Mus musculus: one gene and its partner. The protein of the gene in region 2 interacts with the protein of the main gene of each other region in a pairwise test. Links are inferred from orthologs where the notes say so. Each region holds a gene or a part of one and is shown on either strand. Other genes may lie near its edges.

Evidence for each region.
Region 1: the proteins of Golga2 (region 2) and Alkbh3 interact in binary tests that used the Homo sapiens proteins (3 or more experiments, as listed by UniProt). The link is inferred for Mus musculus from reciprocal best matches to the Homo sapiens genes GOLGA2 and ALKBH3.

The regions. Positions count from the first base shown.
Region 1 is NC_000068.7:94,007,885-94,012,095, forward strand, and holds the start of Alkbh3 (alpha-ketoglutarate-dependent dioxygenase alkB homolog 3), read right to left. Parts: upstream 2,847-4,211; 5' UTR 2,799-2,846; intron 2,525-2,798; exon of another isoform or gene 2,379-2,524; intron 709-2,378; 5' UTR 638-708; coding exon 559-637; intron 259-558; coding exon 155-258; intron 1-154. UniProt on the Homo sapiens protein: Dioxygenase that mediates demethylation of DNA and RNA containing 1-methyladenosine (m1A). Repairs alkylated DNA containing 1-methyladenosine (m1A) and 3-methylcytosine (m3C) by oxidative demethylation. Has a strong preference for single-stranded DNA.
Region 2 is NC_000068.7:32,294,806-32,298,364, reverse strand, and holds part of Golga2 (golgin subfamily A member 2), read right to left. Parts: intron 1,740-3,559; coding exon 1,644-1,739; intron 1,401-1,643; coding exon 1,357-1,400; intron 1,258-1,356; coding exon 1,194-1,257; intron 845-1,193; coding exon 788-844; intron 612-787; coding exon 531-611; intron 1-530. UniProt on the Homo sapiens protein: Peripheral membrane component of the cis-Golgi stack that acts as a membrane skeleton that maintains the structure of the Golgi apparatus, and as a vesicle thether that facilitates vesicle fusion to the Golgi membrane.

The sequences.
Region 1 (4,211 bases), about 62 Mb from region 2:
AGACAACCAAAATATTCCACATTTCATTATTACTAGAATCCTTTGTTCTGCTACTCACAAGTAAATGTATTCAGCCACTATTGGAGAACCTGCTCAGAAACACAGCTTTTATAGGTACACCTTTGTTACTATTGAGGAAGAAACAACCATTTACCAGCTGAGGTTCTTTGAACACAAATTGTCGGTCACATTGCTGCTGTTCCTTGCTCCTCCAGGCTGGCCCCGCGGTCTGGGAAAGACGGCTCCTAGCAGGGGAAGCTGAAATAGGAGAGAACAGTCTCAACAAGAGCCGATAAGAACTGCGTGAAGATGACTTATGACCTCGAGATGTAATAGGCAAGGACAACAAACAGCCTCAATGCACTCTCACCAAATACTACACTGGAGAAACCACGTTCATACCCTTAGTTCACCATCCACAGAGCAGACAAAATGGCAGTCACATTTACAGAACAACTGTTAACAACTCAAGTGGGAGTTCATGATAAACCAAAGCATGTAAATGAAAGAGGATGGCAGCTGTGCACATGCACACACACAGTCTCTGCAGGTTCTTGCCTGGCTGAGTAGCAGACTGGCTCTTGGTAGGTGTAGCCCAGCCTCCCTGCACTCGGGCTCGCTGTCTCTTGTCCTCCATGGTGAAGAAAAAGCGTTCTGTTCTGAGATGTCAGAAGATTTCATTCCCCATTCAGACCAAGGGATGGCTACCTGTTTTCAAAACGAAGCGAGTGTTTTATTAAGGCAGTGCGTGCCTGGCCTAGTAAAGGGTAAGTACGTGCTTTAATGCGGTCAGAAGAGGCGGCTTAACAGCAACAGAGCTGCTCTACTTTACTACATCTCTGTCAAGGGCTGGATCAGGTGGACTACTGGCTATCAAGCCCTTTTACCATAGGCGGTCTAACAGAAAACCATGTTATTAGATTGGTCCCAAGAGCAGACCACATGCATGCAGCTCTAACATTCCCATTGTCCACAGCATGAATATGGAAAACTCGGCCAAGACCAGGCTCCCCAGTGCAGTGCTCCTTACCACCGGCTGTACGGAGCTTCCCTGGAAGCCTTAAAAGCAGCCATGACAGAGAAACCTGAAGGACTTCGGCCACATGAAGTAGAGAAGCACAGAGACATAAACGCTACGTGACCTTACACACAGCAACTTAAGAAAGCTGAACCCTAAGAGTAGAATGTGATTGCTTATGACTAGGGAAGGGGGCTAGGTGGGGGCAAGGACACTGTGGATCCAAAGTACAAAGTTTCACTTGGATAACAATAAGCTTTACTGACCTCCTGCACAGAACAAGGGCCATAAATACCAAATCACTGCTGGGAATGGTGGCACATGCCTTTAATCCCAGCACTTGGGAGGCAGAGGCAGGCGAATTTCTGAGTTCGAGGCCAGCCTGGTCTACAGCAGGACAGCCAGGGCTACACAGAGAAACTGTCTCGAAAAAAAAAAAAAAAAAAAAAAAAAAACAAACAAAAAACCAAATCACTGGATAGCTCAGTTATGAAGAGTAGATTTTAAATATTTCCATCACAAAAAGGTATACGAGGTAAGAGATGTATTAATTTGATGCATTCATTCTATATCAAAAGCATATATCAAAATGTCACAGAATACCATAAATAAGAACAATGATTTGTCAACTTTAAAATTAAGTTTGAAATGAAAATCTAAAATATCCATGTACCACTTTTAAAACTACAATTTAGGAAAGACTCTATTTCTATGTTTATAACAAGCAGCAAAGGGTAAGATATGCTAATATGTATAGAGATCAGAAGGTTTAGTGACTTACAGAGACACTCAGGAAATCAATACTGATGAAAAGTTCAACTCTTGTCAGGTTCCAGCCTTGAGCTAATCAAACCCCCTATAATTTTGCCCAAAGGTTACCCTATAGCAAATACAGAATTCTTAAGGGTCAGGTCACATGTTCGGAACCTGCGAGCCACTTCTTTATGAGTCTAGGAAAGCTTCTAGCTCTCAAAGACAGTCCACTCATATGACTGCTTACACCACAGGTTCCCAGGCCTCGTCTCCTAGACCTTCCGATCCAACAGAGCTCAGGGCTCTGCTTAAATCTCCTTAGGACGTAGAAATGATGGTTTACAGGCACATACCAGTAATCCCAGCATCCAGGAGGCCTGAGCTAAATACTGAGACCCCGTCTCATCACCGACAACCCATCAAGTGCTTATCATTTACCAGGTAGGGCCTTGGAGAAGATGTCGATTCCCTCAAAAAGTTAATGACACAATCAAATCCAACTCTCCGGGCTTACCGAATGTGTGAAGGAAACCCTCGTGTATCATATTCTCGGAGACCTAAAGGCATAAGACTAGTGGGGGTCAGTGAAGGCCTCTGACCTGCTCACCTTGACGTGACTTGTTTAAGGCAAGTGGTGAACAGAAATTCCAGAGTGCTGTCTGAGACTTCCTGAGTGCTGTCAGTTCGAGGAGTCCCAGAACTTAATAGGTCCTAACAAAGGTCCCGCCACCCTGGAACTCCAAGCCTGAAAACCTTAAAAAGAACAAGGGCTCTGGCAGGTGCAGGAACTTGCTTGGAATGCACAGATCTATCCCGTCCCGCCAGCAAACCCCGTGGCAGCGGACGCCACCGTCTGACCTCAGGCCTCTCCCTCAAGCAGGAGACAGTCCCGCCCTCGAGGCTGAGGTACAGAGAAATGGCTAACAGCCTTCTGATGGCCCAGAAACGGACCCTCGGGCAGTCCTCACACGCCTGCCCCCGGCTCGCGGCCAGCAAGCCAGGAAGGAGCTGGGCGCCCCGGACCAACCTGGCTGGGCCCTGAGCAGAGGTCCCGACACGACCCTAATCAGCCGTCTGGACGCCGGGGAACCTTCAGAGTGAGGCACCAACTCCTGCAACGTCCAACCACAGGCCTCCGTTGCGCGTAGTTCCTCTTAGGTGACATACTGCCACCGCTTCCGCTTCCGGTGGGTAGCCCGGAGTCCGGGTTGCCCCGCATCCCTGGCAACTAAAGGGCCGGGTGGAGACGCTGAAGGGAATATGGTCGGAATGGGAACTGGAGTCAGGGGCACATGTGGGGATGAAGATGAGCCTCCTAGGCCTAGGTCCTCAGGAAACTAGTTCCCGAAACCAGTGCTGGCATCTTAGGTCTGTTGTGCAAAGGGCAACCGCACTCTCCCGGAACTTGTACTGATCCGGGAGTAGGGAGGACTGGGACATGCTGGGTTCTGCTATAGAATTCTCTCCTTACCTTGAAAACCATGAAGAGTCTAAGGTGCGCTTTGTTCTCAACGTAGCGCGCCCGTCTTTTCTACACAGCATTTACGCTGGGACGTGAGAGCATGCCTTATTTATCTGAGTTCCTCAGTGCTAAGGAAACTTTACTTGAGTCCACAGATCTGTCTAAATTTCATTCCAATGCCACCATTTGGGGCAAGTGCATTGCTTACTTTTTAAGTGGTCCTGTTAAGTGGGATTAAATGAGACAGCAGCGTCTGGACCACTATAGAAATCTAATAATTCACGATAGCTAAAGTGCCTTCTCACGCATCTGACCTCTTCACAAGCTTCTTTAAAGAGATCAGGTTAAGCCATGTCTCTTATAATTTGACAACTCTGACTGTAGCACCAAGTCAACTATTTTCTGTCAAATATTATTCTCTAAAATTTACCAAAACACAATCATTGTGGAGATCTTTCAAATAAGCCTGATTCTGTCAGGGTATCGGTAAAGGCTCCTTAAGAAAAATCCCCACTCGTCAAAAGAATAGAATCACCTGGCCAAAGAATGACCCCTAGGAAGGTAGGCTTACCTGAAGTAACACTAAAGAGATAAGTGGACTTATTAGTACTTTAATGAGACACTGTACTTCCTTTCTCCGATTCCCACCCTCTATCTCCGTCACTTAAGGAACATGGCCACGCCGGTTCCAAGCCTTCCTGCTTTTCTAAATTACCTAGAGAAACAACAACAAAAACTAAAAACAGCAGCAACAACAAAAACCATAGCTTACCTTTCTTGCTGTCCCTCCTGTAAGCATGCTTCTTTTAGGACTTCAGACTTTTGCCAGCATTTGATGTCCCCTTACTCTTTCTCTGATGCTTCCCTCTCTTACATGACAACGGCTGCCTTCCACTCAGTGACTGACCTCCATGCCCACTTAACACGGAATCCCCACCCCCTATTCTCTTCCTTGGGGCGGCTGTCTACAGTTTACCT
Region 2 (3,559 bases):
GCCAACTTGGGACTTGGCAGAGTGTGTCGAATTAAAACTGAGCGTGTCTTGTGGGCACAACCAAGAGATGAATGGGAGAGCACTTGTTTCTGATGAGTCAATGAGCTTTCCAACTCTTGCCTCTTCAGAGTAGACAGAGGTCTCTGACCCACTCCAAATCTGCTAACAGGAAACTCAAACCCAGGGAGTGGTGTGGCCAAAATCAAAGAGCAAATGAGGGGCTAAGCCAATAGGACATGGGGTCCTGACAACCAACTGGGGTTGTGTTCCCCTCTACTGGAGGCACCGAGCTCAGGACAAGTAGGGCGAGGACTCAGGATGAGTCTGCAGTACAGAGTGGAGGCAGAGAGGAGAGCCACAAGATCCATGCTGCATGCTCTATGCTCTGGGTGCCTCCAGCTGAGACTCAAGCCCCAGGTTTTCCATTCCCCTTGGTCCCAGGGGCCCCCTAGTCCCTTTCTTCAGAGCCCAAAGGGGAAACTGAAGCCCAGGACTGGCAGCAAGAATCAGGGACCCCACTGGACTCTTACCAATTCCTCTATCGTGCTACTGAGTTGTTTGTTTGTTACATAGCTGGAGTCCAGGGCTACTGCTAGCTCTTGGTACCGGTTCTGAGGCGCATGCAGAGAGGAGGAGTTGGAGGAGGGATGGGGGGAAAGGTAGAGAGAGCATCATTAGGGGTGGGGGTGGTGGGCTGTCTCAGCTGGCAGCGGGCACCCAGGTCCCTGTAGGAGGAGATAGGCTGTTGGCGTAAAGGGTTGCTGGGCCATGAGTCCAGGCCACTCACCTCCAGTTCCTTCATGTTGGAAGATGTGAGGCCCTCCCCGTTGATGTAGGATGTAGACTAGGAGAGACAATACCTCACATGGAGATGCTCTGTGACCCTCAATGTCTAATCCCTGCAGCCTCCTACTTCCCCCTCAACTAGCAGAATCTCCTTTCCTGCTCACTCACACCCCCTTTGTGCCACTCCTTATGGCTCTTTTCCCGCCATGGCTCAACCTCGCCGCTCAACAGCTGTCACCTCAAACCACACCAGGATAAAAATCACGTTGCCCATTGTGGTCCAAATCCAAGTCTTCTCCAGTATGACAAGAGCCTCTCATGAATTAGTCTCTTGAGAATCCCACCTCATTTTCTAACATACTTTCCTTTCCTCTCTACCTTCTTTCTGGGTCCCAGTCCTGTGGTACCTCAGACACAAGGCCATTGAGCTGTTGAGAAAGTTGTCGCAGACTCTCAGTCGATGAGAAAGTCCTAAGGGAGGAGACATGAGATCAGGGGTGCAGGTAGTTTGATGGGAACAGGGCTCATGGGCAGAGGCTTGCCCCGACTCCCTCAGTAGGGAACACTTACTTGGTCTCCTCCATGAGGTTAGAGCAATTGCCAGCATCATGGCTCTGTATGGGTAGAAAGAAATAAGGTAGCATTATTTAGCTTCTGCTTACTGTCACACAGGGACACAGTAGGCCAAATTCATCTCAACACCCATCATCCCAAATGTTCTCCATCTTGGCCTCCCCATGCCAGGCTCCAGGAGCACACCTGAACCAAGCTATCTGAATAGAGTAGTTTTCAAAAAACTTTGGGAGTCCTTTGGGAAGCAGACAGGAGGGCGACAGACAAAGGGGAGAAGCACAAACCTGAGTGAGGTCAGCATCAGGGGAAGGGGTGACACCAAGAAACATAGTGTCAGTAGCAGCGGTTGGCGGTGCAGGAGCAATATGGTCTGTGGGCACCTGTCACAGAACAGAGCAGAGGGTCAGAAGACCACGGAGGAGAGAGGTGCCTCATTGCCATGGACATGAGGGGACGGGGCAAGCGGGGTAGCACAGCAGCAGGCACAGGACAGTCGCACATGCTGGGAGCTACTGGGGTACAGACATGGCCTGCCCAGGCCTCAGGTCACCTAGTAGCATTCTGAAGGGCCAGAGCTCAAAGCAGGGGCTGCAGGGTCTCCTTCCTGAACACCCAAGGACCTAGTTCCCTCTGGAGCTCTGACCTGTGGCAGCCACAGCAGGTACATGTGCCAAGTCCAGGAGGCAGAGAGCTAACTGCCCCGACTATAGGCCTTGCTTCTGGGACAGACTCAACATCATGGTCAACATAACCATTCTCCCCTCTCTTGCTTTCCTGCCTTCCCTCCTCCCAGACCCACGCACTGGCTGTGTTTGTCAATTCAGAAACAACTGGATAAAGCAGAGAACAATGGCTGCCCTTTGGCTTGAAGTATCTAGGAGATCATGTGAGCTTTCTAGGAAATGTAGGCAGGGACCAATCCTAGGATTTCGGAGATGGCAGCTTGTGGAAGTCCCCCACTGGCCTGGCAGGAACTATGTGCTTGACCAGCTGGCCCAGTTGCTCTTCAGGCTCAGGCCTCACTTGTTTGTTTTATTTTCTGACACAGGGCCTCACTATGTAACCCCTGCTGTCCTGGAACTCACCCTGTAGACCAGGCTGACCTTGAAACAGAGATCTGCCTGCCTCTGCCTCCCAGGTGCTAGGATTAAAGGCATGCACCACTATGCTCAGTAGCTCAGGCTTCACTCTTAGACTATGTCTCTGGCTTAGAGGTCTTCTAATGTCCAACAGTCCAGATAGGCAGAGGATGGGAAGACAAAGGGAGAGGGACAGAGAGTCCAGGCCTGTCCAGCAAGGCTGGTCTGGGAGGAAGTGGCCATGCCTTTCTCCAAAGAAAGGGGCCGTTTGCTTTATGTAGCCTTCAGTCTCAGCCTCTTGGGATGCTGACCAAATTTCCTCCTTTGAGCAAGCGAGAAAGAACCTCTGAGAACTCATTGTGAGCTTCACTCTCTTCAGGGTTACTGTGACCACACCCCTACAACTCATGTGACTGTCAGTTCTGAATCACCCATAGGTGCTGCCTTGACAACATCTACAGTTGAGTCTAACAGGTAAGACCAGGGGCTCAGTGGCAGCTGGCCACGCCTATGACATTCTGGAGGTGTGGCACTCCCAGCAATAGACCCTTCTAGGCTCTGGGTCCCTTGTGGCATCCTAGGAACATTCATCTCTAAGACTGACAATGTTCAGAAAGGCAAAAAATAAATAAAAATGTTTTTCTGAGTACCTTTTGGTTCTCTAGGTGTTGAAACGGGGTCTCTCTAAAATTCATGCTTGCCTCAGAATTGCCACAGAGCCCAGGCTGACCTCAGACTAGAGACCTCCTTTTTGCCTCAGCTTCCCAAAAGCAGGAACCGCAAGGATAGGACACTAAGCACTGCTGGGAGACTCAAATGCTTTTTGGCAACCATGTAACTTTTCGAGTTTAAGTCTTACAGCTAAGCATGGAGTTCTTACAGAGTTTTCACTCTCCTCAAAATGCCCCATCCCATCAGAAAGGACTTTTATCTTCCATAACTTCCTGTTTTATCTCTTCTCAGGAGATATTAATCTCCTTTACTCCTGGAGTAGAAAATCAGTTACTAATTCTAGAAAGTTTTCAAAAACACAAGGAAAGTCTTCACTTCTGGACGGGGGGTGGGGGGTGGGGTGCTCTGGTGAGTATTTCCTGAAGGGGAAACCAGAGCCCGGGCTGTGT